Saccharomyces cerevisiae S288C: one gene and its partners. The protein of the gene in region 1 interacts with the protein of each later gene in a pairwise test. Each region holds a gene or a part of one and is shown on either strand. Other genes may lie near its edges.

What was found.
Region 2: the proteins of BCK2 (region 1) and KIN2 interact in binary tests that used the Saccharomyces cerevisiae proteins (3 or more experiments, as listed by UniProt).
Region 3: the proteins of BCK2 (region 1) and KSS1 interact in binary tests that used the Saccharomyces cerevisiae proteins (3 or more experiments, as listed by UniProt).
Region 4: the proteins of BCK2 (region 1) and TPD3 interact in a two-hybrid assay, tested with the Saccharomyces cerevisiae proteins (one study listed by BioGRID).

What each region holds. Positions count from the first base shown.
Region 1 is NC_001137.3:512,838-521,349, forward strand, and holds BCK2 (Bck2p), read left to right. Parts: upstream 1-5,378; coding exon 5,379-7,934; downstream 7,935-8,512. Other genes in the region: aminophospholipid-translocating P4-type ATPase DNF1, read left to right, coding at 1-4,622; CCA1 (tRNA adenylyltransferase), read right to left, coding at 8,192-8,512. UniProt on the Saccharomyces cerevisiae protein: Dosage dependent suppressor of PKC1 deletion and MPK1 deletion. Involved in cell lysis.
Region 2 is NC_001144.5:328,612-338,045, forward strand, and holds KIN2 (serine/threonine protein kinase KIN2), read left to right. Parts: upstream 1-3,978; coding exon 3,979-7,422; downstream 7,423-9,434. Other genes in the region: GIS3 (Gis3p), read right to left, coding at 1-627; IOC2 (Ioc2p), read right to left, coding at 1,066-3,504; SCF ubiquitin ligase complex subunit HRT3, read right to left, coding at 7,620-8,654; CHA4 (Cha4p), read right to left, coding at 8,916-9,434.
Region 3 is NC_001139.9:571,372-578,536, forward strand, and holds KSS1 (mitogen-activated serine/threonine-protein kinase KSS1), read left to right. Parts: upstream 1-4,026; coding exon 4,027-5,133; downstream 5,134-7,165. Other genes in the region: YGR039W (uncharacterized protein), read left to right, coding at 3,517-3,828; BUD9 (Bud9p), read left to right, coding at 6,116-7,165. UniProt on the Saccharomyces cerevisiae protein: Together with closely related FUS3, KSS1 is the final kinase in the signal transduction cascade regulating activation/repression of the mating and filamentation pathways, induced by pheromone and nitrogen/carbon limitation, respectively.
Region 4 is NC_001133.9:121,494-129,426, reverse strand, and holds TPD3 (protein phosphatase 2A structural subunit TPD3), read right to left. Parts: upstream 4,549-7,933; coding exon 2,641-4,548; downstream 1-2,640. Other genes in the region: Rpd3L histone deacetylase complex subunit DEP1, read right to left, coding at 1-157; SYN8 (syntaxin), read left to right, coding at 408-1,175; bifunctional N-glycosylase/AP lyase NTG1, read left to right, coding at 1,325-2,524; serine/threonine protein kinase PSK1, read right to left, coding at 5,132-7,933. UniProt on the Saccharomyces cerevisiae protein: Phosphatase 2A affects a variety of biological processes in the cell such as transcription, cell cycle progression and cellular morphogenesis, and provides an initial identification of critical substrates for this phosphatase.

The DNA of each region.
Region 1 (8,512 bases):
ATATTGCACCTACCCATTTTGATGATGGTGCAACAAGCAACAAATACAGCCGGCCACAGGTCAGCTTCAATGATGAAACACCCAAAAATAAACGTGAAGATGCAGAAGAATTCACATTTAACGATGACACAGAATATGACAATCATTCCTTTCAGCCAACACCGAAACTTAATAATGGATCTGGGACGTTTGATGATGTGGAATTAGACAATGATAGTGGTGAACCGCACACTAACTACGATGGTATGAAAAGATTCCGGATGGGTACAAAAAGGAATAAAAAAGGAAACCCAATAATGGGAAGATCTAAGACCTTGAAATGGGCTAGGAAGAACATTCCAAACCCATTTGAAGACTTTACGAAGGATGATATTGACCCTGGTGCCATAAATCGTGCGCAAGAACTAAGGACTGTGTATTACAATATGCCCTTACCAAAAGATATGATAGATGAAGAAGGCAACCCCATTATGCAGTATCCTCGTAATAAAATCAGAACTACCAAATATACCCCGTTAACATTCTTACCAAAAAACATTCTATTTCAGTTTCATAATTTCGCCAACGTTTATTTCTTAGTTTTAATAATTTTAGGTGCATTTCAAATTTTTGGTGTCACGAACCCTGGTTTAAGTGCGGTTCCGTTAGTTGTCATTGTTATAATCACTGCGATCAAGGATGCTATTGAAGACTCAAGAAGAACCGTCCTAGATTTAGAGGTGAATAATACCAAGACACATATTTTAGAAGGTGTTGAGAACGAAAATGTCTCAACCGATAATATTTCATTGTGGAGAAGGTTTAAGAAAGCAAACTCTAGACTCCTTTTCAAGTTTATACAATATTGTAAAGAACATTTAACTGAAGAGGGCAAAAAGAAGAGAATGCAGAGAAAGCGTCATGAACTAAGAGTACAAAAAACTGTTGGAACGAGTGGACCCAGATCCTCTCTAGACTCCATTGACAGTTACAGAGTATCTGCAGATTATGGCCGTCCTTCATTGGATTATGATAATTTGGAACAAGGGGCCGGTGAAGCCAATATAGTTGATAGATCCCTACCACCCAGAACTGATTGTAAATTTGCCAAGAATTATTGGAAAGGTGTCAAGGTTGGTGATATTGTTCGTATCCATAACAATGATGAAATCCCTGCTGACATTATCTTACTTTCAACGTCGGATACAGATGGTGCCTGCTACGTAGAAACTAAAAATTTGGATGGTGAAACAAACTTAAAGGTACGCCAATCCTTGAAGTGTACCAATACTATAAGAACGTCAAAAGATATTGCTAGAACAAAATTCTGGATCGAAAGTGAAGGGCCCCACTCAAATTTGTACACTTATCAAGGTAATATGAAATGGAGAAATCTTGCAGATGGCGAGATACGAAATGAGCCAATTACTATTAATAACGTTCTGCTTCGTGGTTGCACTCTTAGAAATACTAAGTGGGCAATGGGTGTTGTAATGTTTACCGGTGGTGACACAAAAATCATGTTAAACTCTGGCATTACACCCACCAAGAAGTCCAGGATTTCAAGAGAACTAAACTTCTCTGTGGTGATAAATTTCGTGCTACTTTTCATCTTATGTTTTGTTTCTGGTATTGCAAATGGTGTATATTACGACAAAAAAGGCAGATCACGGTTTTCCTATGAATTTGGAACAATTGCTGGGTCAGCGGCGACAAACGGTTTCGTCTCATTTTGGGTTGCTGTTATTCTTTACCAATCTTTAGTCCCAATCTCTTTGTACATTTCTGTGGAGATCATCAAAACTGCACAAGCGGCCTTCATTTACGGAGACGTTTTACTCTACAATGCCAAATTGGATTATCCTTGTACACCAAAATCCTGGAATATTTCTGACGATTTAGGTCAAGTGGAATATATATTTTCTGATAAAACAGGTACATTAACTCAAAATGTAATGGAGTTTAAAAAATGTACTATCAATGGTGTTTCATATGGAAGAGCTTACACCGAAGCGTTAGCGGGATTAAGAAAAAGACAAGGTATCGACGTCGAAACCGAAGGTAGGCGTGAGAAGGCCGAAATTGCCAAGGATAGGGATACAATGATCGATGAACTGAGAGCTTTATCAGGAAATTCACAATTTTATCCCGAAGAAGTTACCTTTGTATCAAAGGAGTTCGTTCGCGATTTGAAAGGGGCTAGTGGTGAAGTACAACAAAGATGCTGTGAGCACTTTATGTTAGCATTAGCTTTATGTCACTCCGTCCTTGTAGAAGCAAACCCGGACAATCCAAAAAAACTGGATTTAAAAGCTCAATCTCCAGACGAAGCAGCGTTAGTAGCCACAGCTAGAGATGTAGGATTCAGTTTTGTTGGAAAAACCAAAAAAGGGTTGATAATTGAAATGCAAGGTATTCAAAAAGAATTTGAGATTCTAAATATTTTGGAGTTTAATTCATCGAGAAAAAGAATGTCCTGTATTGTCAAAATTCCGGGTCTGAACCCAGGGGACGAGCCTAGAGCACTTTTAATTTGTAAAGGTGCAGATTCCATTATATACTCAAGATTAAGTCGCCAGAGTGGTAGCAATAGTGAAGCTATTTTGGAAAAAACTGCTTTGCATTTAGAGCAGTACGCTACTGAAGGTTTAAGAACGTTATGCATAGCTCAAAGGGAGTTAAGTTGGTCTGAATACGAAAAATGGAACGAAAAGTACGATATTGCTGCTGCATCATTAGCAAACAGAGAGGATGAATTAGAAGTTGTTGCAGATTCCATTGAACGCGAATTGATATTATTGGGCGGTACAGCTATCGAAGATCGTTTACAAGATGGTGTTCCGGATTGTATAGAGTTGCTTGCAGAGGCAGGAATTAAATTATGGGTTCTTACGGGTGATAAAGTTGAAACAGCTATAAACATTGGATTTTCTTGCAACCTTTTGAATAATGAAATGGAATTGTTAGTTATTAAAACAACTGGTGATGACGTGAAAGAATTCGGATCAGAACCAAGTGAAATTGTGGATGCTTTACTCTCCAAATACTTGAAGGAGTATTTCAACTTAACCGGTTCAGAAGAAGAGATTTTTGAAGCTAAAAAGGATCACGAATTTCCGAAGGGTAATTACGCCATCGTTATCGATGGTGATGCTTTGAAATTGGCGCTATATGGTGAAGATATAAGAAGAAAGTTTCTTTTACTCTGCAAGAATTGTAGAGCTGTCTTATGCTGTAGAGTATCTCCATCTCAAAAAGCAGCCGTTGTTAAGTTAGTCAAGGATTCTCTAGATGTCATGACACTAGCCATCGGCGATGGTTCCAACGACGTCGCCATGATTCAATCTGCGGATGTTGGTATTGGTATTGCCGGTGAAGAAGGTCGACAAGCTGTTATGTGCTCAGACTACGCCATTGGACAATTCAGATATTTGGCTAGATTGGTCCTCGTTCACGGTAGGTGGTCTTATAAGAGACTGGCAGAAATGATTCCTGAGTTTTTTTACAAAAACATGATTTTTGCTTTGGCATTGTTCTGGTATGGTATCTATAATGATTTTGATGGGTCTTACCTGTATGAATACACATACATGATGTTCTATAATTTGGCATTTACATCCCTACCAGTCATCTTCTTAGGTATTCTGGACCAGGACGTGAATGACACAATATCATTAGTGGTCCCTCAGTTATACCGTGTTGGAATTTTAAGGAAAGAATGGAACCAAAGAAAGTTCTTATGGTATATGTTGGACGGATTATATCAGTCTATTATCTGTTTTTTTTTCCCTTACTTGGTTTATCACAAAAATATGATAGTTACGAGCAATGGGTTAGGATTGGATCATCGTTATTTTGTCGGTGTTTATGTGACCACTATTGCTGTAATTTCGTGTAACACATATGTTTTATTACACCAATATAGATGGGATTGGTTTAGTGGATTATTCATTGCACTGTCTTGCCTCGTAGTTTTTGCATGGACGGGAATATGGTCTTCTGCGATAGCTAGTAGAGAATTTTTCAAAGCTGCAGCGCGTATCTATGGAGCACCTTCATTTTGGGCTGTTTTCTTTGTTGCCGTGCTGTTCTGCTTACTGCCCCGTTTCACATATGACAGTTTTCAAAAATTTTTCTACCCAACTGATGTGGAAATAGTAAGAGAGATGTGGCAACATGGCCATTTCGATCATTATCCTCCTGGTTACGATCCAACAGATCCCAACAGACCCAAGGTCACAAAAGCTGGGCAACACGGAGAGAAGATTATAGAAGGCATAGCACTTTCCGACAACTTAGGAGGATCGAACTATTCAAGGGATAGTGTTGTCACAGAGGAGATTCCAATGACTTTCATGCACGGTGAAGATGGAAGTCCTAGCGGATATCAGAAGCAAGAAACCTGGATGACTTCACCCAAGGAAACACAAGATCTTCTTCAATCGCCCCAATTTCAGCAGGCCCAAACGTTCGGAAGAGGCCCATCAACCAACGTCAGGTCATCCTTGGACCGCACAAGAGAACAGATGATCGCCACTAACCAACTAGATAACCGCTACTCTGTGGAAAGAGCGAGAACATCTCTAGATCTACCAGGCGTAACTAACGCAGCCTCCTTAATCGGAACACAACAGAACAATTAATAATGATATCCGAACCATAGCTGATGGAACTCCGCTTTTCACTGTATATATAATATTACATAATATTACTGGATAAGCCTTAGAAGCCTTAGAAGCCTTAGAAGCCTTGGAATTCATGCATACTACAGCGTTAACTCTTTCTTTTAGCAAGTTTTAGTAGCGGACGTGTGGGTTTCTTTGTTCTATAATTAACACTCCCGGTTAACCCGGATCGCTATTATTCAAGGACGCACAATGGTGGGCTAATTTTTTCTTCCGATGGAAAACTGACGCCAGCACTTTCCAGCGCTGGGAACTCTCCACTAACTGGCAAAAAAATTGATTAAGGTCATGATCAAAGGAATTTTTGAAATGTTGTAAAGTAGAGTTAAGAATTAATCAAGCCGTGATACGTATGTTTTTGACTAGGTGAGAGACTATATTTATCAAAAATAGTTTTTTATACTAACAGAAAGTTTATTATATCATAGAAATCCTAGGCCTATTGTTATTATTTGCGTGAAAAAAGGTTCATGCCTAGTTATTCAGGATATTAATCAGGCATAGTCATAGTTTTGTAATACACGTCTTTCACTCCTATTTCCGGTTAACATTCGCTAATATCCATCAAATTATTGACTTTTTTTTCAGTGGATTTGTTGTTAATAAAGGAAACAATCAGATCAGCCATTTAGGGAAGTCTTTTAAGAAAGCTCAGAAGGAGATCTAAGACAAGAAGCAAGGCAGTCTTGATTTATCGCTCAAAACCAATAGCACATGCCGAAGAATAGTCACCACCATCGTTCCAGTTCGGTTAATTCCACAAAGAGTCGTTCTACGGAATCTACGAATAAATGGAAAATTCCGCACTATTATCGCAGATCCGCTAGCGGCAGCACACAAGCTTCGCCGGACAGGAACTCCTCAACAGGCTCATGTAGCACTCCAGTATTACCTACTATGAATGTTATGTCTAGCCCGAAAAAAGTTTTGCTAGAGGATCCCAGAGACAACCATACTAAGGCGAAGAAGAGTAGTAGAAAGAAATCAGGTGAAATGGTCTTCGTCAATTATACTGTACAGGACACGGCTAACGAAAATGATACTGACTTGCAAACCCAGCCGGTTTCTGTGCCAGCACCAAAGGCGAAATTAAAGAAGAAATCCTCCAAAAGGAGAATGCTGAAGATATTTGGATCGTCAAAGAACGAACACATAGAGGACATCGTTGAAGAGCAACCAATGGTGCTTCAAATGGATTCAGAATCTAAACCCCTTTCGGGAACCCCTATCTCAGAAAGCGGAATCGACGCCTCGTCACTAACAACCAAAAGATCTTATAACTCGTTCTTAAAACACAATAGGCTAAACGGTAAAACTCCGTTCTCTGGAAACTTGTCCTTTCCATCATTAAACATGATGGGTAACACTACTGATCTGCCTATTGACAATAACGATTTTTGTTCCGAGAAAGAAGTCGTTCCGAAATCAACTCATGATCCTTCACTAGCAAAACCGCCATCAAGGTTCACTGAAAGCGAAACAAATTCTACTCCCAACTTATCAAGTATACCTCTCATGAACACAAAAAATACAAGATTGAAGTACAATAAAGTGGCGCCTCAGAGTTCAGACCGACAAAAGTCACAGGAAAGTGGGCTATATCATTCTACCGAATCATTCAACTTCAAAGATCAAAACTACAGTAACAATAAATCCTCTTTAAGTCTGAACTCCGATTTAAGTACACCCCACTTTGCAAAGCATTCACCTGATTCACCAAGAACTTCAAGATCTTTCAACTGCGGAGACTCACAAAGTAAAGTTAAATTACCGGAAGAAAATGACGCTTCTATTGCATTTAGTAAGATGTTTACTAGAAAACGAGCCAACACTGGCGGGTCCACGTGTTCGCTAGCCTCACCCACTATTGCACAAACTATTCAGCAATCAAATATAAAAGTTAATAAATTGCCAACTCAGCGAACCACTTCAGTTGGCTCATTATCATCCATGTCAAATCGTTATTCACCAATAAGAGTTGCATCGCCAGGAAGAGCAAGATCCGCAACTCGTGGGTCTTCCCTTTATAGATTATCCAGAGACCTTAATTCTTTACCAAGCGTCACTGATCTACCAGAAATGGATAGTACAACCCCAGTTAACGAAATATTCTTGGATGGCCAACCACAGCATAAAAGTGGCAGTGTCAAAGGAGGGCATAGGAAGAAACAAGAATCTATCTCTGATGCTCAAAGAATTCAACATTCTAATTCGTACATTACAACACCTTCATCTTCTCTGGTGACTCCTCCTTACTACATGACAGGTTACACATTACCAAGTTCTGCATCTGCTTCTTCAACTCCAAATGTGCTTGAAACACACAATATGAACTTTGTTCCAAGTACCAGTACTGTTACAAGTTATCGCCCATCTAGCAATTTTTCCTCATTTGACAAAGAATACAGTAACGAAAACGACGCTAGTGGGGAATTCTCTGCTTTCAATACTCCAATGGAGAATATACCGGCACTAAAAGGTATACCTAGATCCACGTTAGAAGAAAATGAAGAAGAGGATGTCCTAGTACAAGATATTCCGAATACGGCACACTTCCAAAGAAGGGATATTATGGGGATGGATACTCACAGAAAGGATGACAGTTTAGATTTTAACTCTTTGATGCCACACGGTAGTACAACTAGTAGCAGCATCGTAGATTCTGTTATGACGAACTCAATATCCACTACAACAAGCAACGCGACCGGAAACTACTTTCAAGATCAAGATAAGTATACATTGGTAAATACGGGATTGGGATTGAGTGATGCAAACCTCGATCATTTTATTAGATCTCAATGGAAACACGCTTCTCGATCAGAATCCAATAATAATACCGGAAATCGCGTTTCTTACAGTGGCTCAACACCAAACAATGTTGATACAACAAAGACTAATTTGCAAGTGTATACCGAGTTCGATTTTGAAAACCCAGAGTCGTTTTTCCATGAGCAATCGAAGCTACTAGGTGAGATGGGCCACAGCAATAACAACAGCAACAGCGCCATCAACATGAATGAACCCAAGTCTGCGGATACATACATTGGAAATATATCTCCGGATACTTCAGCAACTGTTTCATTAGGCGACCTGATGGGCTCAAACGTTTCAAACAACAGTGAAAGAAATTTTTACGATGGTCATACTTTCGTTCCACAGTATCAGGCGAACTCATCTGTGGAAAACTCAAATAATCAAAATGCAGCACCAATTGCAAATAACGACATTGATAATAATTTACAGTCTTTTTATTTTGATAATAGCAACTAAAAAAGGAATGAAAAAAAAAAAAAAAAGTTCAAAAATAGTAACAGATATCTTTCGAAAAAGTTAAAAACTGGTAAAAAATTTTGAATAGAGTATATAAAAACTAATAAATATGTTTAGTTATCATACACCATAGAATAACTACTAGAGATATTATTTCATTTTCGTTTTCATTTTTTTTATTTTTTTCTTTTCAATAAGGTAACAGAAAGTTATTTATGCATTCTTGTTCTACATGTCTTATGTATACTAATAAGCTACTACAGGTATTTTGGTAGTATGGCTTTTAAATGAGTTATTAATTCTTGATCAGTCCCTGTAGGATTATCAAACTGCCACCTAATCGCTTCGTTATTAATTTTACCCAGCCATGGACCTGGCTTCATTTGAAGTAGTTTTGCCATTTGTTTTCCGTCCACTATTGGTTTTAGTTCATGACAATTATTCAAATTATTGTCAAATATGTAAGAATAAAATTCATTGTAATTTTGGAAAAGTAATTCAATTTTTTTAGTTTCAAGCTTGGGAATCTTTAAAAATGCATCTGATAGAGATGCAAAATGTGCTGTTTCCCATTCGCC
Region 2 (9,434 bases), on another chromosome or scaffold:
CGGCTCAGCCAGTACCTCATCGCCAATCGCGGGGGTCTGCAAATCGACAGCGTCAGCAATATCATCTGTCAAGGGATGAAGTTTAGAGGAGCTCAATGAAGAACAGTCGCTTTGAGCTTCCTCGGAGAACTTCCTCTTTATGCTCTGTGTTAAGTGGCCCTCATGTATGGGGCATTCGCCCGATAACGTCTTGGCGGAATTTGTTTTCCTAACTTGCGACATGACCGAGCTTAAGGACGGGGTCATCAAAGATGAGCGATTTTCGTTCAGCAGTTCGGAATCGTCTCGAGCCTTCAGTATTCTAGTCCTCTTGAAGCTATTCCTCTTGGTTAGTGTTCTAGTACGTTCAGCGCTTCCTTGACCATCGAACTGCGGCTTAGTGGAGTGGAAATAAATCTCATCGCTCACCGTCCTATTACTTGTGGCGGTCTTGTTCATGCTGGCGCTGGCTAACTTGTTATTCTTCTTATTAGTAGCGGTAGCGTAAAATGACTTGGGATAAAATACCTTTGATGAGTCGCTCCATGAGTGCAATGCGCCATCATCACGTATGCTTTTGATGAGGCAATGTTCATGCACATGAGCATCGTGCATTAGTGTGTGATTTGTGTTCACGTCCAGCAGCATTCTATAATTATGTCTTGTTGAAAGTGTTCTGTATGTTCGTGTCTATCCAAAGAAACAAGTAATTGAGAAAACTAGCCATCAAATACTTGTGAAGAAGCGAGTTTCCATTCTCTGTTTCACTCGTTTGGCGTTCTCACCATCCCACTTTTATTTCATTGGCTTTTTTAACACAATAAGGCGCCTTCAGCACCTTTGCCGCGCATTAAGGATGGCCACTGACGAAAAACCGGATAAAAAAAGACGAAAAAATGCCGTCTGACCCTAGTCAGGAGCCGCCTCATACACCCTAATTATTTTGGCGCTAAGCCCTAAGCATCATTATTACCCGACATGAAGCGACAGAAGCCCTACGGATGTGCGGCTGGAAAAGAAAGTTTCATGAAGAACCAGTTGATATATATTTTACTATATACTTTTGCTGTGTATTTCTATATGAGGCTAGTTGGTTGGTGGGAACTGGAAGTGAAAGTTCTGTTCTTTAGGGTGCAGCGGTTGCTGTTGCTGTTGCTGTTGCTGTTGCTGCTGTGGTTGGATTGATGCTTGTGATGTTTGTGGTGCCTGTGGTGCTTGTGGTACAGTTTTGCTGCCAGTTTGCTGCGAGTATGTAATTATGGGGTGAGCGGCATTTACATTAGGTGCTGGATTGATGGCTGGATTTGTTTTTTCGTAAGCGGCGATACTAGGCGTTGTGCTACTTGACATGTTTGCAAATGCATTATTAAACACTGGAGGTGAGACAGACTCGGTTAGTTCCCTTTTCTTTGCAAGCTCTTCGAGCCTTTTCTTTTCTTCCTTCATTTTTTTTCTTCTTTCACGGTCTTCCTGTTGTTTTCTTTGTTTGGCCCTTATTATTTTCAATTCAGGCACAAAAATGTTGCGCAGCTCAAGTTCCAAGTCCCTGATGCACCAAGCGCAGATAAAAGTGGAGCATTCAGACAGCGGTTTGCGTTTATCAGTAGGTCTTGAAGACTTGGTGCTGGGTTCAAGTGTGGATTGGGGTCTGCGAGAAGACCTTCTATTGCCGTGCGAATTTCCCATTATGATGACGCCAAAATCACGTTGCGACAGCGTGTGCTGTGGGGATTTTGTGGTTGAAGATATAAGCTCTATAATTTTTGGAGGTTGGCATTCCCAATGCTGCCACCTGTAACAATGATCACAGCATATCAATGGGCGGTTATTGAAGAGGTCAGTCTCCGTGTCTTCGGTGATAATCATGGGCGCCAGCTCTGGTTCGCCCGGACATTGGAAAACAGAATCTTGGTTGTCGGGCTCTTGCTGCGGAGTAAAGATCCCGTAGTTGGCAAGCTCATCTAGCTCTTCCTTTGTTATGCAGAAGTCACTAGGCAATTCAGGGACGTCTCCCGTCTGTAGTGGCCCAACAGTTCCAGGAATTGGTGGTTCCACCGGGATTATACTAGATTGAAAGTTAGGGCCGTGATCAAGAACTCCGATATCGATTTCATTTAAGGGATTGTCCTCCTCCCTGCCCAAAGACGTTTCAAAAAACGGTGTACCAGAACCACTTCTATCTTTGAGCTCGTTACGCCTGGTCAATTTTTCATCTCTATAATCTTGATCGTACAATTGCCACAATTGGTTCCAAAGAAGATCTTTTATCTTTTTGATTTCCTTCGACACTAGCTTGTTTCTGTGCCTTATAAATTGTTCTCTTTCATCTAGTTTTTCAAACCACTCACTTTCCAAGTCTTTTTTCTTGTTTTCTTCCTCTTTCGCTACCAGTCTCGAAGATCTTTTCCTCCTTGTCATTAGCTCCGCAATTGCTCTCTCCTTTTCTCTGTTGGCCAAAAGTTTTGCCGAATATAGTCTATGTTCGGCATACACCGGTATTAAGTTAGTTATGAACTCATCTATGGCTTTCGAACTTTTATTCTCTGACCAGTATTCTAGCATGGACCCCCAATTAGTTGTAATCACATCATAATCAATTGTAATCGATTGAAGATATGCATCGATATCGTGAGAGTACTCGAGATGAATAAGCTCCACTGAATCAGGAATGTCTGGGTCGCTTTCTTTTATAGTACAGTTCTGTAGTTTTATTGGGATATTCAGAGTTTGAGAGACTTGGGAGGAAGAGCCTTCTTTTACTCTGTGAATGGTTTTCTTTACGAGTACACCAACATTGGGTAAGGCAAACAAGCTCTTCATTTCCTCCCCTCCACTATTATCATCATCCAGTATAACTTCACTAAACGTAAACAGATGCAAGTTATTCGCTAAGTAGTTTTTGAAGATCATATTTTTCATTTCAATTAATTTTATGATACTGTAAATGATGTCGAATTGGCGTGCAATTTCAAGCTCCAAAAAAGGTAAGTCCGTAACCAAATCTGAATACGCGCTCGAGTTTTGCAAGTGATGGTTAACTATAACATTCCAATCTTTCAATTGCCCGCTTTTATTTCCCGCTAATTGATGCAATAATTGCAATCTAATTCTGTCGTACAAATTTTGCGATCCTTCATCTACGTCGACTTCATCATTGTAATAGTTCGAGTCCTTCCCGTCTATCTTCGAAAATACGTCAGTTACAAATACACCTTCATCGAATTTGATATTCTTCCACAAGCATTTGGTAGAGCTACCGCCATACTGGTCAGTATTAAATGTCGTTGTAGTATATGATTCGCAGACATTGGAAAGCCAAGCCATCACATACTGGAAGTGCCAGTGATTGGCCAAGTCCGCGATCTTCTCATCTAATATTTCAGAATACGGCAGCTGGTGCTTGTTCAATTGGGCTATTATGTCTTCGGAGACATATTCTTTCCAGTCTTCACTATCCGCATTCGCAGCGCCGGCAGGCATGCTCGCTCCTACATTTCTTGTACCCCTAGTTCTCTTCGTTCTCATCGATCGCTGATTCACCGCTTTGTATCTATATATGATTAGCCAGTGTGTATGAGTAAAATAGAGCAATTGATCTAGTTTCTTAGTCGTGTCACTATTGAATAAATAAATGTTAATGTTGCTGGAAAGGAAGAATTATGTCACTTTTGACGCTCTCGCATTCCGTGTGCGGTGATAGCGGTAACTTGGTCTAGCAACGAAAATTTAAAAAGGTTGGAAAAGGAAAAGAAGAGCTCAAGTGGACCTAGAAGTCCTGCTTTGCCACCGTTTAAGCAAGGAATAGAGCACGCCGTTGACACAAATTCACAGTCAAGGACGGGCCACGAGAACTTTATTACAAAATATACTGCATTACACGAAATTCAGCGGAACTCTGAGCGCGAACAGCATTAGGTACCGAGAAACGCTTTTCAAAAGAAATTTCTAAAAGTTTTATTGTGCCATTAATATCGCGGCTCAATTGTTAAGTATTTCACTATGCCTAATCCGAATACAGCAGATTACTTGGTGAATCCAAATTTCAGGACCAGTAAGGGCGGATCTTTATCGCCGACGCCAGAAGCTTTCAACGACACGCGAGTTGCTGCACCAGCCACTCTTCGCATGATGGGCAAGCAATCTGGACCAAGAAATGACCAGCAACAAGCACCACTGATGCCTCCTGCAGATATCAAACAGGGCAAGGAACAGGCAGCTCAGAGACAAAATGATGCATCGAGGCCTAATGGCGCCGTGGAATTAAGGCAATTTCATAGAAGATCTTTGGGAGATTGGGAGTTCCTTGAAACGGTTGGCGCAGGCTCTATGGGTAAAGTTAAATTGGTCAAGCATCGTCAAACAAAGGAAATTTGTGTAATAAAGATTGTTAATAGGGCTTCCAAGGCTTATCTCCATAAACAGCACTCTTTACCTTCCCCAAAGAATGAGAGTGAGATATTAGAAAGACAAAAGCGGTTAGAAAAAGAAATTGCGAGGGATAAAAGGACTGTTAGGGAAGCCTCTTTGGGCCAAATCCTTTACCATCCTCATATCTGTCGTTTATTTGAAATGTGCACTATGTCAAACCATTTTTATATGCTTTTTGAATACGTTTCCGGTGGACAGCTGTTAGATTATATTATTCAGCATGGCTCATTAAAGGAACACCATGCGAGGAAATTTGCCAGAGGTATAGCTAGTGCGCTGCAATACTTACATGCCAATAATATTGTTCATCGAGATCTGAAAATTGAGAATATAATGATATCTAGTTCAGGTGAAATTAAGATCATTGATTTTGGTCTTTCCAACATTTTTGATTATAGGAAACAATTACATACGTTTTGTGGTTCCTTGTACTTTGCAGCACCAGAACTATTAAAAGCGCAGCCATACACAGGACCTGAGGTAGATATTTGGTCGTTTGGTATTGTTCTTTATGTCTTGGTCTGCGGTAAAGTACCATTTGATGATGAGAACTCAAGCATTTTACATGAAAAAATAAAAAAAGGTAAAGTAGACTATCCTTCACACTTATCCATTGAAGTTATATCTTTATTAACCAGGATGATTGTTGTCGACCCATTAAGAAGAGCAACATTAAAGAATGTCGTTGAGCATCCATGGATGAACAGAGGATACGATTTTAAGGCTCCATCATATGTTCCTAATCGTGTTCCATTAACCCCTGAAATGATAGATAGCCAAGTTCTGAAGGAAATGTATCGCCTAGAATTTATTGACGATATTGAAGATACAAGAAGATCATTGATCCGATTAGTAACTGAAAAGGAATACATCCAACTTTCCCAAGAATACTGGGACAAATTATCCAACGCCAAGGGGTTGAGTTCAAGTTTAAATAATAACTACCTAAATTCAACGGCACAACAAACCTTAATACAAAATCATATTACAAGTAATCCATCGCAAAGTGGTTATAATGAACCAGATAGTAATTTTGAAGATCCTACTTTAGCATATCATCCATTACTATCAATATATCACTTGGTTTCAGAAATGGTTGCACGGAAATTAGCGAAGTTGCAAAGAAGGCAAGCATTGGCCCTGCAAGCGCAAGCTCAGCAAAGGCAACAACAGCAACAAGTAGCACTTGGCACTAAGGTCGCCTTAAATAATAACTCCCCGGATATTATGACCAAAATGAGGAGCCCTCAGAAAGAAGTAGTACCTAATCCTGGTATTTTTCAAGTGCCGGCAATTGGAACATCGGGAACCTCAAACAACACTAATACCTCAAACAAACCTCCACTGCATGTAATGGTTCCTCCTAAACTAACAATACCGGAACAAGCGCATACTTCTCCAACATCTAGGAAGAGTTCCGACATTCATACGGAATTAAATGGTGTTTTGAAATCAACACCAGTCCCCGTGTCTGGCGAATATCAGCAACGTTCTGCTTCACCCGTAGTAGGTGAACATCAGGAAAAGAATACAATAGGCGGCATATTCAGAAGAATATCACAAAGTGGACAATCTCAGCATCCCACACGGCAACAGGAACCTCTTCCAGAAAGAGAACCTCCAACATATATGTCAAAATCAAATGAAATTTCCATCAAAGTACCGAAAAGCCATAGTCGTACTATATCAGATTATATTCCTAGCGCTAGAAGATATCCATCTTACGTGCCAAATTCTGTTGATGTAAAACAGAAACCCGCTAAAAACACTACCATAGCACCTCCTATAAGGTCAGTATCACAAAAGCAAAACAGTGATCTTCCAGCTTTACCTCAGAACGCCGAACTAATTGTTCAAAAACAACGGCAAAAACTATTACAGGAAAATCTCGACAAATTACAAATTAATGATAATGATAACAACAATGTGAACGCTGTAGTCGATGGTATCAATAATGATAATAGTGACCATTATCTCTCCGTTCCGAAGGGTCGTAAGTTACATCCTAGTGCAAGGGCTAAATCGGTGGGGCATGCTCGTCGTGAATCTTTGAAATTTACTAGGCCGCCTATACCAGCAGCCCTTCCGCCATCAGATATGACAAACGATAACGGCTTTTTGGGAGAGGCAAACAAGGAGAGATACAATCCTGTTAGCAGTAACTTTTCGACCGTTCCTGAAGATTCTACCACATACAGTAACGATACTAACAATAGACTGACTTCGGTGTATTCTCAGGAGCTTACTGAGAAGCAAATTTTGGAGGAAGCTTCAAAGGCACCCCCCGGGTCTATGCCATCAATTGATTATCCAAAGTCAATGTTTTTGAAGGGTTTTTTCTCTGTACAAACAACCTCCTCTAAACCATTGCCTATTGTTCGTCACAATATCATATCTGTTTTAACAAGAATGAATATTGATTTCAAAGAAGTGAAAGGCGGGTTCATATGTGTCCAACAAAGGCCATCTATTGAGACTGCAGCTGTCCCTGTTATAACCACTACTGGCGTGGGTTTGGATTCCGGAAAGGCGATGGATCTGCAAAATAGTTTAGACAGTCAATTATCATCCAGTTACCATAGTACAGCGTCCTCAGCATCAAGAAATAGTTCGATAAAACGCCAAGGTTCTTATAAGAGGGGCCAGAATAATATACCACTAACACCTTTAGCGACCAATACACATCAAAGAAATTCATCTATCCCAATGTCTCCAAACTACGGAAACCAAAGTAATGGTACATCAGGGGAACTATCTTCCATGTCATTAGATTATGTTCAACAACAGGATGATATTTTAACAACATCAAGAGCCCAAAATATAAATAACGTAAATGGTCAAACAGAGCAAACCAATACTTCTGGTATAAAAGAAAGGCCTCCTATTAAATTTGAGATTCACATTGTAAAGGTTCGTATCGTCGGCCTAGCAGGTGTACATTTCAAAAAGGTTTCTGGTAATACGTGGCTATATAAAGAATTGGCATCGTATATTTTAAAAGAATTAAACCTATAGATACGTTGTTCTTACTAAATATTTCAACGTGTGTCTTTCAATTTTTATTATCTAATATTTATCTTTTTTTAATATTATAGTATAATTTATTTAAGCTGAGATCTGCTTTCTTTAATCTTTCATATGATGAAATAATAGTTCTACATAAATCTATAAGAATAATAAATAAAGTAAAACAACTGCAAAAAACATCGATGTCATCCAGGATCCTTGAAAGATTTCACTCTGGAGAAGAAAAAAGATTTCTCATTTCTCAACGAACAGTTAGATGCATTCCCTTCCTTATCCACTACAATTGAACTTAGCCATTTCAACCGTTGATATCTCTTATTGCCTTGATTCTTGATTTGGAATTCTTCGATAAACGTATACTTTTCATCTGACCTTGTTATCTTTAAATGACCAAAATCATAATCAAATCCGAGGCTCCAATAACACATATGACTATGCCTGGGTTTGTTCTCTTTGGAGAAGTGCTTCACGACAGCGCTAGGTTCATCTGTAGAAAGTAATCTCAAACATTGGCCGTTCTCATAAAATCTGAAATACCTGTAATAGGTGATCATGTGAACTGGCTTTAAAAGAGATAACGAACTTTCTGCATTGGAACCGTATCTTACATAATTTACTACACTGATGTAAACACCTTCGAATTTAATATATGGCCTTTCCCTTAACATACGATAATCATCACCCCGCCATATTTCCTTTTCAAAGGTATTTATATCGGTGATTCCGTTAAGATCCATTGCCATTTTGTCGTATATTTGCTTAGAATATATGTACTTCGCGAAAGTTTTAAATGGCACAGAATCGTGGAAGCAAAGCTTGCTAAAGGTGGAACAAGTCATCGACAAATTCACCCAAGATTCACCAGACATTAATATAACTTTTTTAATAATTCTCAGTAAAATGTCGTCAGGCAAGATTTCCAGAATCCAGCAGGGTTGAAGTTCAGCATTTTCTTCAACAGATAAGTCATCTTTACCGGTTTCATTTTGTTCATCTGGAGCATCAGTAGTCATTGATAATCCCGATAGTTTTTTGTGCAGCATCCACTCATCAAGTATTTTTTTTCTGTACAGTGATTCCACATTATCATGGATTTTCAATGCACTTCGATAGAAGTTTATAGCATCTGACATTGACCCATCCTTCTCTTTCAGTACACCTTTTTCCCAAATAGCAATAGCCTCTTTAGCCCTAGGGTCCTTTTCATAATCTACTATCATTTGCTCCTTGAGTTTAGCTTATGGAACACATGTGTCGTCGCCAAAGATGATGGGGAATGTTTGCTTTTATCTTGCTCAGTCGATTTCGCTATCTAGGAACTACAATCCTTTTTTTTGTCATTTGGAAGGCTCTTTAAAATTCCGAATCGATAAGTTCGGAGGTGGGAAAGGATAGCGGTATATTCCTTCCCAAATAAAAAGGCTACAAACACATTACATAAAGAATATTTGTTCAAGTAAACATATCCTCTTCACTCAAGATTACTTCGACAAACCATCATTGGTGTTTCCACCAATCAGCATATCAATCTCATTCAATAAAGTAAAGTCAAAATTGTACTCTAAGGCAAAATCGTTACCGTGAGATAGAGTCCCTAATAAATCCATAGTTTCTGAATTATGCAAAGCATCTTCAGAGTTTTCTATGAATTTTCTAGCAAGTTCGTAATTCAGGGTAGGCGCACTTAAAAAATTTAAGAAGTCTTGTTTTCTATCCTTTTTAATCAAGTTGGACTTCATGCATTGGATGGCTAAAATCGCAGAATAAATCATGTAAATTGTGGCCTTCTCAAACGTCTTAAATTTATTTTTCCAAACTTTTAAAAGATAATACAGTTCATCAACATAACCTTCAACCAATTCCCGGCTTTGTTTGATTTCGTATATGAAAGGTTTATTATAGGAAATTAGCACGATATAGTAATGAAACCATACGTAAGCTATGGTTGGGTTAAAATCTGTCATTTCCATCAATGACCTCTTGGTCCATTGTAGTTCAGG
Region 3 (7,165 bases), on another chromosome or scaffold:
AGTATCTGATTCAACGGTACCACCCATTTCGGTACTCTCTTTATTAATGATATGGGGTGTACGAGATCGTATAGTAGATGGAAGAATATTGTATTCAGATATGTCGGCATCAACTTCTTTTGGTGCACGTACTTTTTGGACTGGTTCCTTGTCTAATTGTAAAGGGTTTATTGATTGGGACGAGAAGTCGTTCACTAGAGGATCAGAGTTTATTTCAATCTCCGATTGATAGTCATGATCAGATTCTGTATTTTGATCATATGACTGCTCTGTTTCATTTTGTTCAATAAAAGATTGGTTATGGGCTGTTAAACGATTGAGATCATCATCAAAAGTGAGTGTATCGTAGTCGAACTGGTCCAATTTCGTTTGCTTGTTTTGTAATATAACGTAATTGGTAGTATCTACTGTCTTTTTTAATGATGGAAGATAGATAATATAGCCATAAGAGTTTCGTGACGGATGTAAGGCGTAACCTGGAATGCCACGAGGATGTATTTTCGAGTCGGGATTATGGTTGTTAACTATAACCGGTTGACCGAAAGGTAGTATAGTAGTAATGTCCAGTCCAGCTAAACCTGCATGTTGTCTTGCAGATTTATCGTTTTTTTGGTGAGACTAATGAATTTCTGATTATAGTAGAAAATTCGACTGCTGAGAACCATAGATGATTTGGTAGACCACTGCAATGAAGCAGTGTGCGACAATCGTTTAATAAAGTACGATTTAATCGTTCAGCGACACCGTGTGCTCTAGAATCTGCCGTGGTTGTATAGCATGCAGTAATACCTCTGTTCGTAAAGAACTTATGAAGAGTTTTGTTAGTGTACTCGGAGCCACGATCCATCTGGATAACTAGAACGCGAGCATTGAATTGGTTCTTAATAAATGCTAATATCGATGTAAAAACATTGAGGATAGATTCTTCACGACGGTCGTGTAATGGGTACACCCATTGGAATCTGGTTTTCTCATCTGTAAACGATATAAAGTAAGAAGGTGCACTTTTCGGTAAGTGATGTACAGGACCAAATATATCGGTGTGCAAGTACTGAAAAGGCTCATATGATTCTTGGTACTTTAGTCGTGATCCTTTGACATGTCTATGTTTCGTGCTTTTGCCGATTAGACAGTCAGGACATTGATATGTGCTAGCGTTAGACCATTCAATATCCGATTCCTTCAAATATGTAACTGCATTCTTCTTAAGAGACTTCTGAATACTTCGGAAGTTAGCATGTCCAAGCATTCGATGTATTAACGGATATGGATATTTATTTACGCTTTTGCTTTTGTTGACGTTGTTTATTGTTAGCTTTGAAATGTGCGAAGGAATTAGGTATTTTTTAGATAACCAGTAAAAGTCTCCATGTTTGACTATGGGAGCTAGTACTGTACCATCCGATCTTTCTAAAGTGTTTCTGGTAAAGCAGGCAGTAATATTTTGATTAGCCAGCTCACTCAAACTTAATAGATCATAGGCTATGTTTGGTGTGTGTAGTGCTTTTATTGATGTTTTGGTGCCGTTCTGAAAGTTGAAGTGAAGATTACCAATGGCATTTATAGGAATGTCTTGTTTTTGAGCATCGACTATGTTTATTTCAGAATTGGGTGTTGCATGGTGTAAATAATGGGCTGATCTGACAAGCGTTTGCGAAGCTCCTGAATCAATAAGAAGGTGATCAGGTAGTTCGTCATTCGAGTCTATTGTGTGTGTTGGCTTAGATTCTTTCTGTTGCTGGCCTAAGACTAAGTTCGTCGTCATCGCTTAAGTATTGTGATGAAACGGTTGATTCATTAATGTGATCATTGTTCACCCTTGAGAATTTACTAGATGTAGCAATATTGTGAGCTTTTGCTGCTCTTGGTTTTGAACTATTTGTTCTATGATAATTACGAGTTGTAACCTTTGTGTTAGTCGTGTTTGGAGATGTGCGAGAAACATTTTTGTATTCGCTGTGTTGTTTGTATTGGGACGGTTTATTTAGATTCATGATTTTATTTTCGTCATATATTAATTGAATTTCAGCGAATAATTGGGAAAGTTTCATGTTCGTTTTGGTACGATATTGATTACGTAGGTATTTGAAGTCACCGGATAGACCTTTAAGTATTAGTTGACAGGCCAATCTGTCGCTAACATTGATATTGTTTTCTTTTAGCCTCTGAATGATCGTACTGACTGTAATTTCAAATGTATCAGCAGATGTACTTCCGTCGTACTCAAGGTTGGCAAGAGCTATCCAATCCTTTAATTCTTGATTGTTAGTTTGCATTTTGGACACACTTTTACAAAGGACTGTAAGGATGTCAGCATAATTAATTTCTAAAATTTGTTTTACCCATGTTGGCAATAAATGAAATGGGGCAAATGCTTGGAAGGTATTGTATATATACGCATGTTCTTCATAAGTCATTTGTCTTTTGATTTCACCCTGGTCATTTGGAATGATGTCACCGAGATTAGAGTTCTTCAAAAATCTGATGTAAAATTTAACCCATGTAGAAAAGTTTTCTTCTGATGTTAAAGTGTGTGGTGGTAAGACGTTATTTCCCACCTTTGTCTTAGCTTGAGGTATTTCAGAGTGTTGATTTTTTAAATCGATTGGATCAGGTGAGGAAGTACTCAGTGGTGGGATATACTGTGGCAACGGATAGTGTGGGTCCGGTTGATAATACGCAGGTGACGTTTGATAATGTGAACACGTCATCATAGATGGTTGTTGGTAATGTGCCCAGTTAGAGGCCATAGCTTTGTTTGGGGTCATCATGCCGTGCTGTTGGTACTGTCCATTCTGTGGAGGTGGTACTGAAGCAGGTTGAGGAGAGACATGATGATGGTTCTCTGGAACAGCTGATGTCCCAGGTGTTGTCTCTTGTTGAGAATTAACCTTAGTGGAATCTCTATCAAATTCCGGTAAATTGGAAGCTGAAACGGCTAACGGATCTTGATTTTATGGGACTTCCTTAGAAGTAACCGAAGCATAGGCGCTACCATGAAGAGAATGTGGATTTTGATGTAATTGTTGGGATTCCATTTTTTATAAGGCGATAATATTAGGTATGTAGATATACTAGAAGTTCTCCTCGAGGATTTAGGAATCCATAAAAGGGAATCTGCAATTCTACACAATTCTATAAATATTATTATCATCATTTTATATGTTAATATTCATTGATCCTATTACATTATCAATCCTTGCGTTTCAGCTTCCACTAATTTAGATGACTATTTTTCATCATTTGCGTCATCTTCTAACACCGTATATGATAATATACTAGTAACGTAAATACTAGTTAGTAGATGATAGTTGATTTTTATTCCAACAGTATTTATGTTTTGTCATTCTTTTCTACATAATCTTGAAACTAGGTAGATCTACAATTGAAAAGTAAATACTAACATTATTTACTAAATTTAAGTTAGAAATCGGCACGAAAAAAATTTGACAGATTACGAGAGTCCAGCCAAAATATGAGTATATTACTATTTCCCCTTGGTGAAAGAAATGAAAGATGTTATTTTTTACCGGCTTAGTAATACTGAGCTACTTACTTGGGGGAAAGAAAGATTGGCTACTTATTATGTATGAAGCCTCAGATTACCTTGAATTCCTCAACCGTTTGAGCAGTATGCTCTTCAAATTCGAACTTTTTGAACATCTTTCCTCCACATTCCTGATTTTTTCACATTCAAAACGCGCTGTGAAGCTGTTAGAAATTTACAGATCGAGGCATATTTCTATATATAATGTATTTTTATTAAGACACCCAAAGTACTTCCAATCTGTAGATATTGCACTTTATCTGACCAGAAGCCAGACTTGAACAGTTACATATTGTGCTTTGCAGTCGTTAAATTTCCCGAACTGTTTTCGTATTTTTTTTTCTTTTCCTCTTTTCCACTGGATCAGATCAAAAGCCGACTAAAAATTTGGCAATTTAAAGAAAGCATCTTTTAAAGATAGAAAAGGTTATTTCAACAAAAAAGTATCTTTTCTTCACTTTTCTTTCAACAATTCAAAGATGGCTAGAACCATAACTTTTGATATCCCTTCCCAATATAAACTCGTAGATTTAATAGGTGAGGGAGCGTACGGAACAGTATGTTCAGCAATTCATAAGCCTTCCGGCATAAAGGTAGCTATCAAGAAAATACAACCGTTTAGCAAAAAATTGTTTGTTACAAGAACTATACGTGAGATCAAGCTTTTACGGTATTTCCATGAACACGAAAACATAATAAGTATATTGGATAAAGTAAGGCCAGTATCCATAGACAAACTAAACGCTGTTTATTTAGTCGAAGAGTTGATGGAAACCGATTTACAAAAAGTAATTAATAATCAGAATAGCGGGTTTTCCACTTTAAGTGATGACCATGTTCAATACTTTACATACCAAATCCTCAGAGCCTTAAAGTCTATTCACAGTGCACAAGTTATCCATAGAGACATAAAGCCATCAAACCTGTTACTAAATTCCAATTGTGATCTCAAAGTCTGCGATTTTGGACTAGCGAGGTGTTTAGCTAGCAGTAGCGATTCAAGAGAAACATTGGTAGGATTCATGACGGAGTACGTCGCAACGCGATGGTACAGGGCACCCGAGATAATGCTAACTTTTCAAGAGTACACAACTGCGATGGATATATGGTCATGCGGATGCATTTTGGCTGAAATGGTCTCCGGGAAGCCTTTGTTCCCAGGCAGAGACTATCATCATCAATTATGGCTAATTCTAGAAGTCTTGGGAACTCCATCTTTCGAAGACTTTAATCAGATCAAATCCAAGAGGGCTAAAGAGTATATAGCAAACTTACCTATGAGGCCACCCTTGCCATGGGAGACCGTCTGGTCAAAGACCGATCTGAATCCAGATATGATAGATTTACTAGACAAAATGCTTCAATTCAATCCTGACAAAAGAATAAGCGCAGCAGAAGCTTTAAGACACCCTTACCTGGCAATGTACCATGACCCAAGTGATGAGCCGGAATATCCTCCACTTAATTTGGATGATGAATTTTGGAAACTGGATAACAAGATAATGCGTCCGGAAGAGGAGGAAGAAGTGCCCATAGAAATGCTCAAAGACATGCTTTACGATGAACTAATGAAGACCATGGAATAGTATTCACAAGAACATTTCTGCCATACTTCTAAAATTTCCCTATATTCAGCTTAGCAGTGACACGTTGTGGTCTGTAGGTCAATATGTAAGTAAGAAACTTCAACTCACATATGCACGATGCATGCCAATGGAAAAATGCAAGGAACGAAATGGCGCCACGGCAACAAGTTTTTTTTTTTCGCCAGCAGAAGTACACGAAATGCGGCTTCATGAGCCTCTTCACTGCTTTGCCTAAACGGGAAATGCAGAGAAAAACCAGCCATCGCGTGTGCTTGGAGAGCTGACGCGACTGTAATCAAAGAGGCGATATCAACACCTTTTATCCAGCACTATTCAACAGTGAATGGGCTCCCAAGTAAGTCTTGGCATTGTGCTTTCTATTCTTAAGTATTAAGTAGAAGTTTTGTTTACTGGGTTTGTTTATTCCTGGCTAGATGTTCGCATTCGTTTTCTAGTTGACCATATTTACCAAATATTCACAACTAATACCCAGCCAAGGTAGTCTAAAAGCTAATTTCTCTAAAAGGGAGAAAGTTGGTGATTTTTTATCTCGCATTATTATATATGCAAGAATAGTTAAGGTATAGTTATAAAGTTTTATCTTAATTGCCACATACGTACATTGACACGTAGAAGGACTCCATTATTTTTTTCATTCTAGCATACTATTATTCCTTGTAACGTCCCAGAGTATTCCATTTAATTGTCCTCCATTTCTTAACGGTGACGAAGGATCACCATACAACAACTACTAAAGATTATAGTACACTCTCACCTTGCAACTATTTATCTGACATTTGCCTTACTTTTATCTCCAGCTTCCCCTCGATTTTATTTTTCAATTTGATTTCTAAAGCTTTTTGCTTAGGCATACCAAACCATCCACTCATTTAACACCTTATTTTTTTTTTCGAAGACAGCATCCAACTTTATACGTTCACTACCTTTTTTTTTACAACAATTTCATTCTTCATCCTATGAAATGACGAAAATAACCAGAGATGTTTCGATAACGACAGAAAATTCAAAATCCACATCTGGATCGGCAACGGCTTCATCCGCATCTTTACCTGAGAACGACCACCCAATATTCCATCAACCGCGAGCAAGAATAAGATCTGGTTCGCTGTTCATCGAAGGATCTGATTCATTTCCATCATCAGAAGTGAAGTCATACAATGTTTATATTGATGATAGCAAGTATAGTGAAATCCTCAAAGGAGATACAAATTCAAGTAGTACTGATGGTAAACAAGTCTTTGAAGATGCTAGAGATGACAATTTCCATCAGGAATCACATAGAGATCTAGAGGATTCAATTTTAGATTTAGTACGACGAGATCCAGAAGTAGCAGCATTCCCTTTACCTCCGCCAAATTCAAATGAGAGGAACAGAAATTCCTCAAACGGGTCTTCCGCTGAAACTAACCTAAATGGACACAGCAGCAGCGGTACCATCTCTACTTCGGTGCTGTTGAATATGGGTTCGGCAGAAAAGCACGCTGGGACGACCAGAGGAGATCATATGGAATCATCTTCAATGAAATCCTTCGAGAAACTGGGAACCAGACCTTCTTCTTTATTCTATCCACCACCCGAAGGAACTGCGCCGTACCAGGGACCAAGGGCTACCGTCTCCGGAAATAAGTCTACAAGGCAAACACAAGGTACATACTCATTTCCTTCTATGCGGTATGGTGTAGATCTTGTTTCTCCTGTGGAAGGGGCTGTTGATGTAGCAAAAAGCAGAGTTCCTAACAGCACGCTAAATGGTACTTTTCCCGATAAAGCGTTTATCCCACATGAATTTCAAATTCCTAAAAAGGCCTGGAACAGAATACCAGCGAATAAGTCCACTAGCCTCAAAACCCCAAGAAACCATTCCCTATTAATTGACATATTAAAGCCTTTTGAAGCAGCTGACCTTGCTAATGACCAGCGAAGTTCTTCCGCTGTTTTAAAAAATACAGTGCATTCTAATGGGCAGTATAATCCAACTAATGAAACCTCTGGAACTCGAATGCAAGATCAA
Region 4 (7,933 bases), on another chromosome or scaffold:
TCTCTGTTCCTGCGTCACTGGATATACAGTATTCCGATAAATTCAAATTGTGATTCAAATCCGTATTGAAGTCAATGTTGCTCAACACGCTCTCTTGATCAAGGTCCTGTTCTTTCGCTGTGGTCTGTTCACTTTCCTGTGGTGTTTGCTGACTCATCTGCCACGATCGATGCGCCTCCTCTTGCTTCTGTGCTTCCTTCCCTTGTACTTTGCCGTTGCACTGTTATGAGTTTATTATTTCTAAAAATCATTTTATAAGAATAAAATTTCCCAGCACGACTTTGATCACCCGAAAGGGCAAAAACAAGTAAAGAACAAGAAATAAATGCTGAGACTTTACAATGGAAAACGAATAAAGCATAGAGACAGATCTCACGACAGCAAATAGATGCGTAAGCACACACGGTATGGATGTGTTGAAGCTGGGTTATGAACTGGACCAGCTCTCTGATCTGGTCGAAGAAAGAACAAGGCTAGTGTCGGTGTTGAAGCTCGCCCCGACCTCAAACGATAACGTTACTTTGAAACGGCAATTGGGCTCAATATTGGAGTTATTGCAGAAGTGTGCGCCCAATGATGAACTAATATCCCGATACAATACCATACTGGACAAAATTCCTGATACGGCGGTTGACAAGGAGTTGTATAGGTTCCAACAGCAGGTGGCAAGAAATACTGATGAGGTGTCCAAAGAGTCTTTGAAAAAAGTGCGGTTCAAGAATGATGACGAGCTTACGGTCATGTATAAGGATGACGATGAACAAGACGAGGAGTCGCCGCTGCCTTCGACGCATACTCCATACAAGGATGAACCATTGCAATCGCAGTTACAGTCACAGTCACAGCCACAGCCACCACAACCCATGGTTTCCAACCAAGAACTATTTATTAACCAGCAACAGCAGTTGTTAGAGCAAGATTCCCACTTGGGCGCACTGTCTCAGTCTATTGGGAGGACTCATGACATTTCGCTGGACCTTAATAATGAGATCGTTTCTCAGAACGACTCGCTGCTGGTTGATTTAGAAAACCTGATTGATAATAATGGTAGGAATTTGAACAGGGCCTCTCGGTCCATGCATGGCTTTAACAATTCTAGGTTCAAGGATAACGGCAACTGCGTGATTATTCTTGTGCTGATAGTGGTGCTCCTGTTGCTTCTATTAGTATTATAACATTATATTCTGTTTTTTAGGCTCGAATACGAAGTTTGGTTTTGATCTTTTTTTTTTTCTTTTTCTTTCACTTAGTAATAACCTCCTCTTTAATGATTCATCATATATTTGTATCTATATATACTTTATAGCCCAAAAAAAAAAAAAATATGCAAAAGATCAGTAAATACTCATCTATGGCAATTCTGAGGAAAAGACCGCTGGTAAAGACTGAAACTGGGCCAGAATCAGAACTCCTACCGGAGAAAAGGACCAAAATCAAACAAGAAGAGGTTGTCCCTCAACCCGTGGATATCGACTGGGTTAAATCGCTGCCAAATAAGCAGTACTTCGAATGGATTGTGGTTAGAAACGGCAATGTGCCCAACAGGTGGGCCACACCATTGGACCCCTCGATCCTTGTCACTCCGGCCTCGACGAAAGTCCCTTACAAGTTTCAAGAAACATACGCTAGAATGCGAGTACTGAGATCTAAGATTCTAGCCCCCGTCGATATAATTGGTGGATCATCCATTCCTGTAACGGTTGCCTCTAAGTGTGGTATCTCGAAAGAGCAGATATCACCGAGGGACTACAGATTACAGGTCCTTCTTGGGGTGATGCTATCATCGCAAACAAAAGATGAAGTTACCGCAATGGCAATGCTTAACATAATGCGGTATTGTATAGACGAACTGCACAGCGAAGAAGGTATGACATTAGAGGCCGTTTTACAAATCAATGAGACCAAATTAGACGAATTGATTCATTCAGTTGGGTTCCACACAAGGAAGGCCAAGTATATTTTGTCAACCTGCAAAATCCTTCAAGATCAGTTTTCGAGTGATGTTCCAGCTACGATTAATGAGCTATTGGGCCTGCCCGGTGTAGGGCCCAAAATGGCTTATCTAACATTACAAAAGGCATGGGGCAAGATTGAAGGTATCTGCGTTGACGTTCACGTGGATAGATTGACCAAGCTTTGGAAATGGGTAGATGCGCAGAAATGCAAGACTCCAGATCAGACAAGAACTCAATTACAAAATTGGCTGCCTAAGGGGCTTTGGACAGAAATAAATGGGTTGCTGGTTGGATTTGGACAAATAATCACTAAATCGAGGAACCTTGGTGACATGTTACAATTCTTGCCACCGGATGATCCCAGAAGCTCCTTAGATTGGGATTTGCAGTCTCAATTGTACAAGGAAATCCAGCAAAATATCATGAGTTATCCAAAGTGGGTGAAATACCTGGAAGGAAAACGTGAACTGAACGTGGAGGCGGAAATCAATGTTAAACACGAGGAGAAAACAGTTGAAGAAACTATGGTCAAACTGGAAAATGATATTTCTGTTAAAGTAGAGGACTAAGTGTGGTAAAAAAAAAAAAAAAGAAAAGAAAAGAAAGCAGGCCTAGTTGTTAATATGTATACTTTTTATTCATTCAAGTGTACATATGTGTATGTATGTATATATTTGAACTAGTATCAATTTTTTAAAAGTTCTTGACATTCTGCCAAACTTTTCTTAGCGAAGTATTTTACATCAACATCTTCGTCTTGACACAGCGTTTGCAATGAGGGTAAAATTGTGTTCTTAATTAATGCATCATATTTGGCCTCGTCCTTAATTAAAACCTTCACTATCACAGCGTAGGATTTGGCCACATTAAACCTAATATTTGGAACACCGTCATCAGCCAAGTGAGAAATGAATGGTAATAGTTGCTCAGTAACGACATCTAACGATACCACGGGCACCAAAGTGGTTAGAGCAGAGAGTATTGTGAACCTCGAGACAAAATTTTCCAGTAATTGTAGATCAAATTTGAGCAGTCTTGAAATAATTTCATCACGACACCAATCAGAGCCAAATATTTCCGTTAACCTTTTTAAATTATTCACTGCGGCTTCTCTGATAGAATAAACAGTATCCCACAACCATGAAAGACATAAATCGCTTAACTGTTGGTCAAAAAATTGCATACCTAATTGTTCTGCCAAGATAGGTATGTACTCAATTATAGCCATTCTAACTCTCCAATTCACGTCCTTGGCTAATTCTGTTATGGCAGGTAACAAAGAGTCTGATAGCAGCTCAATTCCTATTACGTCATTGACAACCTTCAAGCTGGCAATGATATTTAAACGAACGTCAGGGAACTCATCTCTTAGCATATTCAGTAAAATCGGAAGAAAATTGTTAATGACTTGATCTTTATTCAACAGTAATACAATATTTGTAATCTTAGAAGCCAAAGCAGATCTCACTGTTTCACTTTCGTCCATACTCAAATTCTGCACAGCAGGTAAGATCTTATTCAATATAATTGAAGGATCATTTAGGAACTTGGCAAACCCAGAAACTTGTTTAGCCACAGCTTCCCTAACATCTCCCTCGTTGTCCTCACAAAGGTTCAAAAATGGTTGTACTAATTCATCGATATATGCTTGGTTGGAACTGAATTGCGAGGCTAAATCTGAAAATCTATCGGCAGCCATGTAACGTACCCTCCACGCTTCGTCACCAATTAATTTGACAGCAGAGTTCAATAAATCTTGAGTGTGAGACTCATCACCTTTAGCGTTAAAAAATTTCAAGATGGAAATTAAACAATCAACTGCCAGAAACTTGACAGAATCTTGATTATCGTTAATGATTTTCTGGAAAATGTTAGAAATGTAATCCCAATCTTCGTCTGTAGATAATCCCAAATTTTGAGTCAACAGATCGATCAAGATGGGCAGGTTTTTACCGACGGCCCTTTTCACCATTGGAGTATCATCTTGAGCGAGTTGTAAGTATAAAGCCAGGATATTCTTTCTCAATGAATCATCTTTGATTCTAACAATAACAGACTTGAAAAGACCACAAGCAGAAACTTTTGAAGAAAACCAATCTGCAGTAGCTAAATGTTCAATTAAAGGGACGAAGTCACTAAATAATTGTTCTTGAGAAAGTTCTTGGGCCACGTTATTCAGAGAATCTACGGCCTTTTCTCTAACCAAAGTTTCTTCTGCAGATGCCAAAATTTCCAAAACTGGTAATAGGATTGTGGCGTATTGAGGACCGCCAATGTAGGGGACAAATTTTCCTAACTGTTCGGCTAAAACGGCAAACACCTCATCTTCATCATCTTGTGCAACTTCCGTTAAAAAGGGAATCAACTCGTTTCTTGTTCTTTCGGGACCGAGTGCCAACGCGATGGTATCTAGTTTTTTCATGGCTTCTACCCTATTAGCAATATCATCATGTTTTAACTCATCCATAAGCAGAGCCAAGGGATATAATGACTCGTTAGAGTCTGAGTCCTTAGAGTTTGACGTTGTTGATGTTGTTGATGTTGTTGCTGCCGAGGGCACGGCACCTGCCGTTGTTGATCTTGCTCCAGACATATTTCGCTCCTTTCTGACCACTCAATTATTCTTCGATAATCAGATACCAGTTGTTATAGTCGTCGAAATAAGTTCCACGTTAGTATTGTTGCTATCTGCCTTCCTTCGTAACTTAGTTCCCTAACACTTTCTCCTGTTAACTCTTTCACCTTTTTCGCTTTCCCTGCAAAAAGGGCATTCCGGGTATTATCGTCTGTAGTGATTTAATAATGGTAATAAGCTCTTTGCATTAGGAAGAGAATAGCAGTAGTATTGATCAATAGTTCATGTGGTATCAGTATTTCTGCTTTTAAGGTATGGTTTACTATGTAATTTCAATATTTACCCTATCTTTGTTTTCTAAATATGTAAATTTTTTATATTTAAGTCTTGATTAACTGCTTTGGATGCTGTATTTTTATCATATTAACATTTTGATTAAAGAAAGAAAGTACATATTGATTTATTCATATTTAAATAGAGAAAACTACCAACTCATTACTGAAGAAAGTAAGAAGAACGACATACCAAGCATTGTTTCTACTGGATATTTTTTTGCATTTTCTTTTCCAATTACTAATGTCCTAGAATGATCATTAATCCTTCAAATAACCAACCATTTGTCGTTATTTATGTCGTCAATGGTGGGTCTCTTCGGTACGCAACGGTTCAAAATACTCTTGATTAACTCAATGCAATCTTCACTAACTTCCTCTGCATTATTGAATTTCAGGTCGCCTTCTAATATTTCATCTATATTGTAGAAGGGGTTTTCTTTGAAGACCACCGTATACAATAGAATACCAATAGCCCAAATATCCTGTGGTTGGCCCTCATAAGGGTTTCCTCCTAAGACTTCAGGGGCAGCATAATCTATTGTCCCAACAAAAACATCAAATGGTCCGCTTTTGACATACGCAGCAGATCCAAAATCAATAATCTTAACAAAGCCTTTAGAATCTACGATAACATTCTCATCCTTGATATCTCTGTGAACAATACCCTGGTCGTGTAGATGTTTTATTCCCGCTACAACCTGCTTGAATATCAATTTTGCTTCAAATTCGGTCATGTTGGTTTTAAATTCAATTAGATCGAAAAGATCTATACATCCTGTTTCACCATGTACGGGAGTTTCGATATAATAGTAATCGTCGTCTTCAAAAAAATCCAGTAACCGTAAAATATTCTCATGTGGTTTTTTGTTCAACGTGGCCATAATTTGGATCTCAGAAGGTATAGTGCCTAATTTCCTATCTCTAACCCATGTATCTACAAGGATTCTTTCTTTAAAAATCATCTTAATCACCACAATATACCTATTCTTCTTATGAATACATAGGTTGACCTTACCATATGCACCTTCACCCATTTTTTGCAGACTTACGAAGTCCGAAAACTTCTTAACATGCTTTTGAGCACCGATGTTCTTTTCGGGGGTGCGTAGGAAAGTACTAACAGGTTGGTTTCCTCGCTTGTTAGTCATTATGATTCCGTCTTCGTCTTTAGGTGATCCCGCTAATCCGTTTTCTGTAGCGTTTTCGTCAATTAGCTTTTCCTCTTCAAGTGGAGAAAGCCCTTTCCCAGAACTTTTAGAATCTGCTAAGGATTCAGTGCTTGGGGAAAGTGAAATTTTGCTAATAATCAAATTTTCGTCAACTTTAAAATTTCCTTCTTTCACAAATTGAGATTTATCTCTTGAGTAAATTCTGGCCAATTCTAACTTGTGCTTCATTTCGGGGTCTGCAAGCATCATCTCGCCACTGTCCTTATCGTTTTCCAGGGGAACTTGTTCCTGCTCGGACAAAGTAGATTGAGAATGTGCTCTAGAATCATCTCCGATTTCATACTTAAGCTTATTCGTTCGGTGGGCCAAATCCTCATATGTTGACAGATTACTCATGTCCTTTAATGTCCCGGTGGATATCCTAGACGAAGATTTTTTGGAAGAGCTGGCAGAACTACTTGCACTGCTCATTAAACTTAATTCACTCTCCTTCAGCATCTTCAATTGAGATGGATTTGTATTATATTCTTCAAATACCACGTCTCTCGAATGTGTAACCCAAAGCAAAATCACTTTAGAATTCATGACACGCAGCTGGAAATCAATTTTGATTTCACAGCCATCCCTATGAAGGCCATCAATACCCACCGACGTATAAAAGCTTTTACGATCACCCATAATCTCTGCCTGAATTTTCCTAAAAAAATGTTCTGTTAATACCAAACCTTTATTTTTATGGAGTGTGATATCCAACGCAGGATATTTGTCATTTATAAATTGGAGGAATTTTGGGAAAGAAGGAATTATTTCAGTAATGGATTTTCCCACCAGCTCAGCAAAATGATAACCAAACATGTTTTTTAAAATAGATTTATTGGAACTTACAATATCTAAAGTATGCGAATCCACAATAAACAAACCCGCCTGGTAAGGTAAACTGTGAATCTTTAATTTCAGCTCATCCTCCAACACAGTGGAGGAAACCGCGCATGGGATATTATAAGATAGATGATTTAGAGTAAAATATCTTGTTTCATTAATGTGGTTGCAAACTTTGATGGGCATAGGCAAAAGGTCGTCATCGGGATCAAATACAACCCCATTCCTCACATCATCCATTAATTTGGCTAACGATTGGCTTATACTCTTGACGTCTTTAATATCATTTGCGAACTTTACACTTTTCTTCGACCTTACTGGCGATGATGACAGCGATGGTTCAGAATGACTATCTCCATCAAGTTGGTTTTCATCGCCGTTGCGATTCTCTGTTGAAGTAGGCTTAGTATAACTCTTTTCCAGGATTTTCCTCTCCAACGAATACTCTAATTTACTACCAGTTGGTGAAGAAGCCATCTTAGGTAGCGATAATGTAGAAGAGGAAGACAATGTGGGTCCATCTGATAATAACTCACATTTGTCTACAATATTCTCGGCCCCAAAATCATCCAGGTTCAAAAGTACATCAACATAATCGCAAGGAACCTTTTCGAAAACACAAACTAATAAGCCGTTTTTCCTTTTTGCCCAAAACGATGCCCATACTACTTTGGATGAGCTGAGTGTTTCTGGTTGAACTATACCAATGATTTCGCCTGTGAAAACCATTTCTTGACCCTCCGTAGAAAGTAATTTGTGTAAAACAAAATTTCTGCTATCGGTGTGAATTAAATCCATCAAGGTTAAAGCGCGAATGGCATTCTGTGAGATACCGAATACTAAGCACGCTAGATCATTCGCAGCTCTGAATTGCCAAGGGTCTTCCTGACTACATGTAAAAATTGCCTGTGGGGCGGAATTTTTGGTAGAAGTGAATGTCCTCAATATGCGGCCATAGTCCTGTTGGGGCCGTATATCTGTTATCGCTGTCGTATCTCCAGAACCTGTAAATTCATCAAT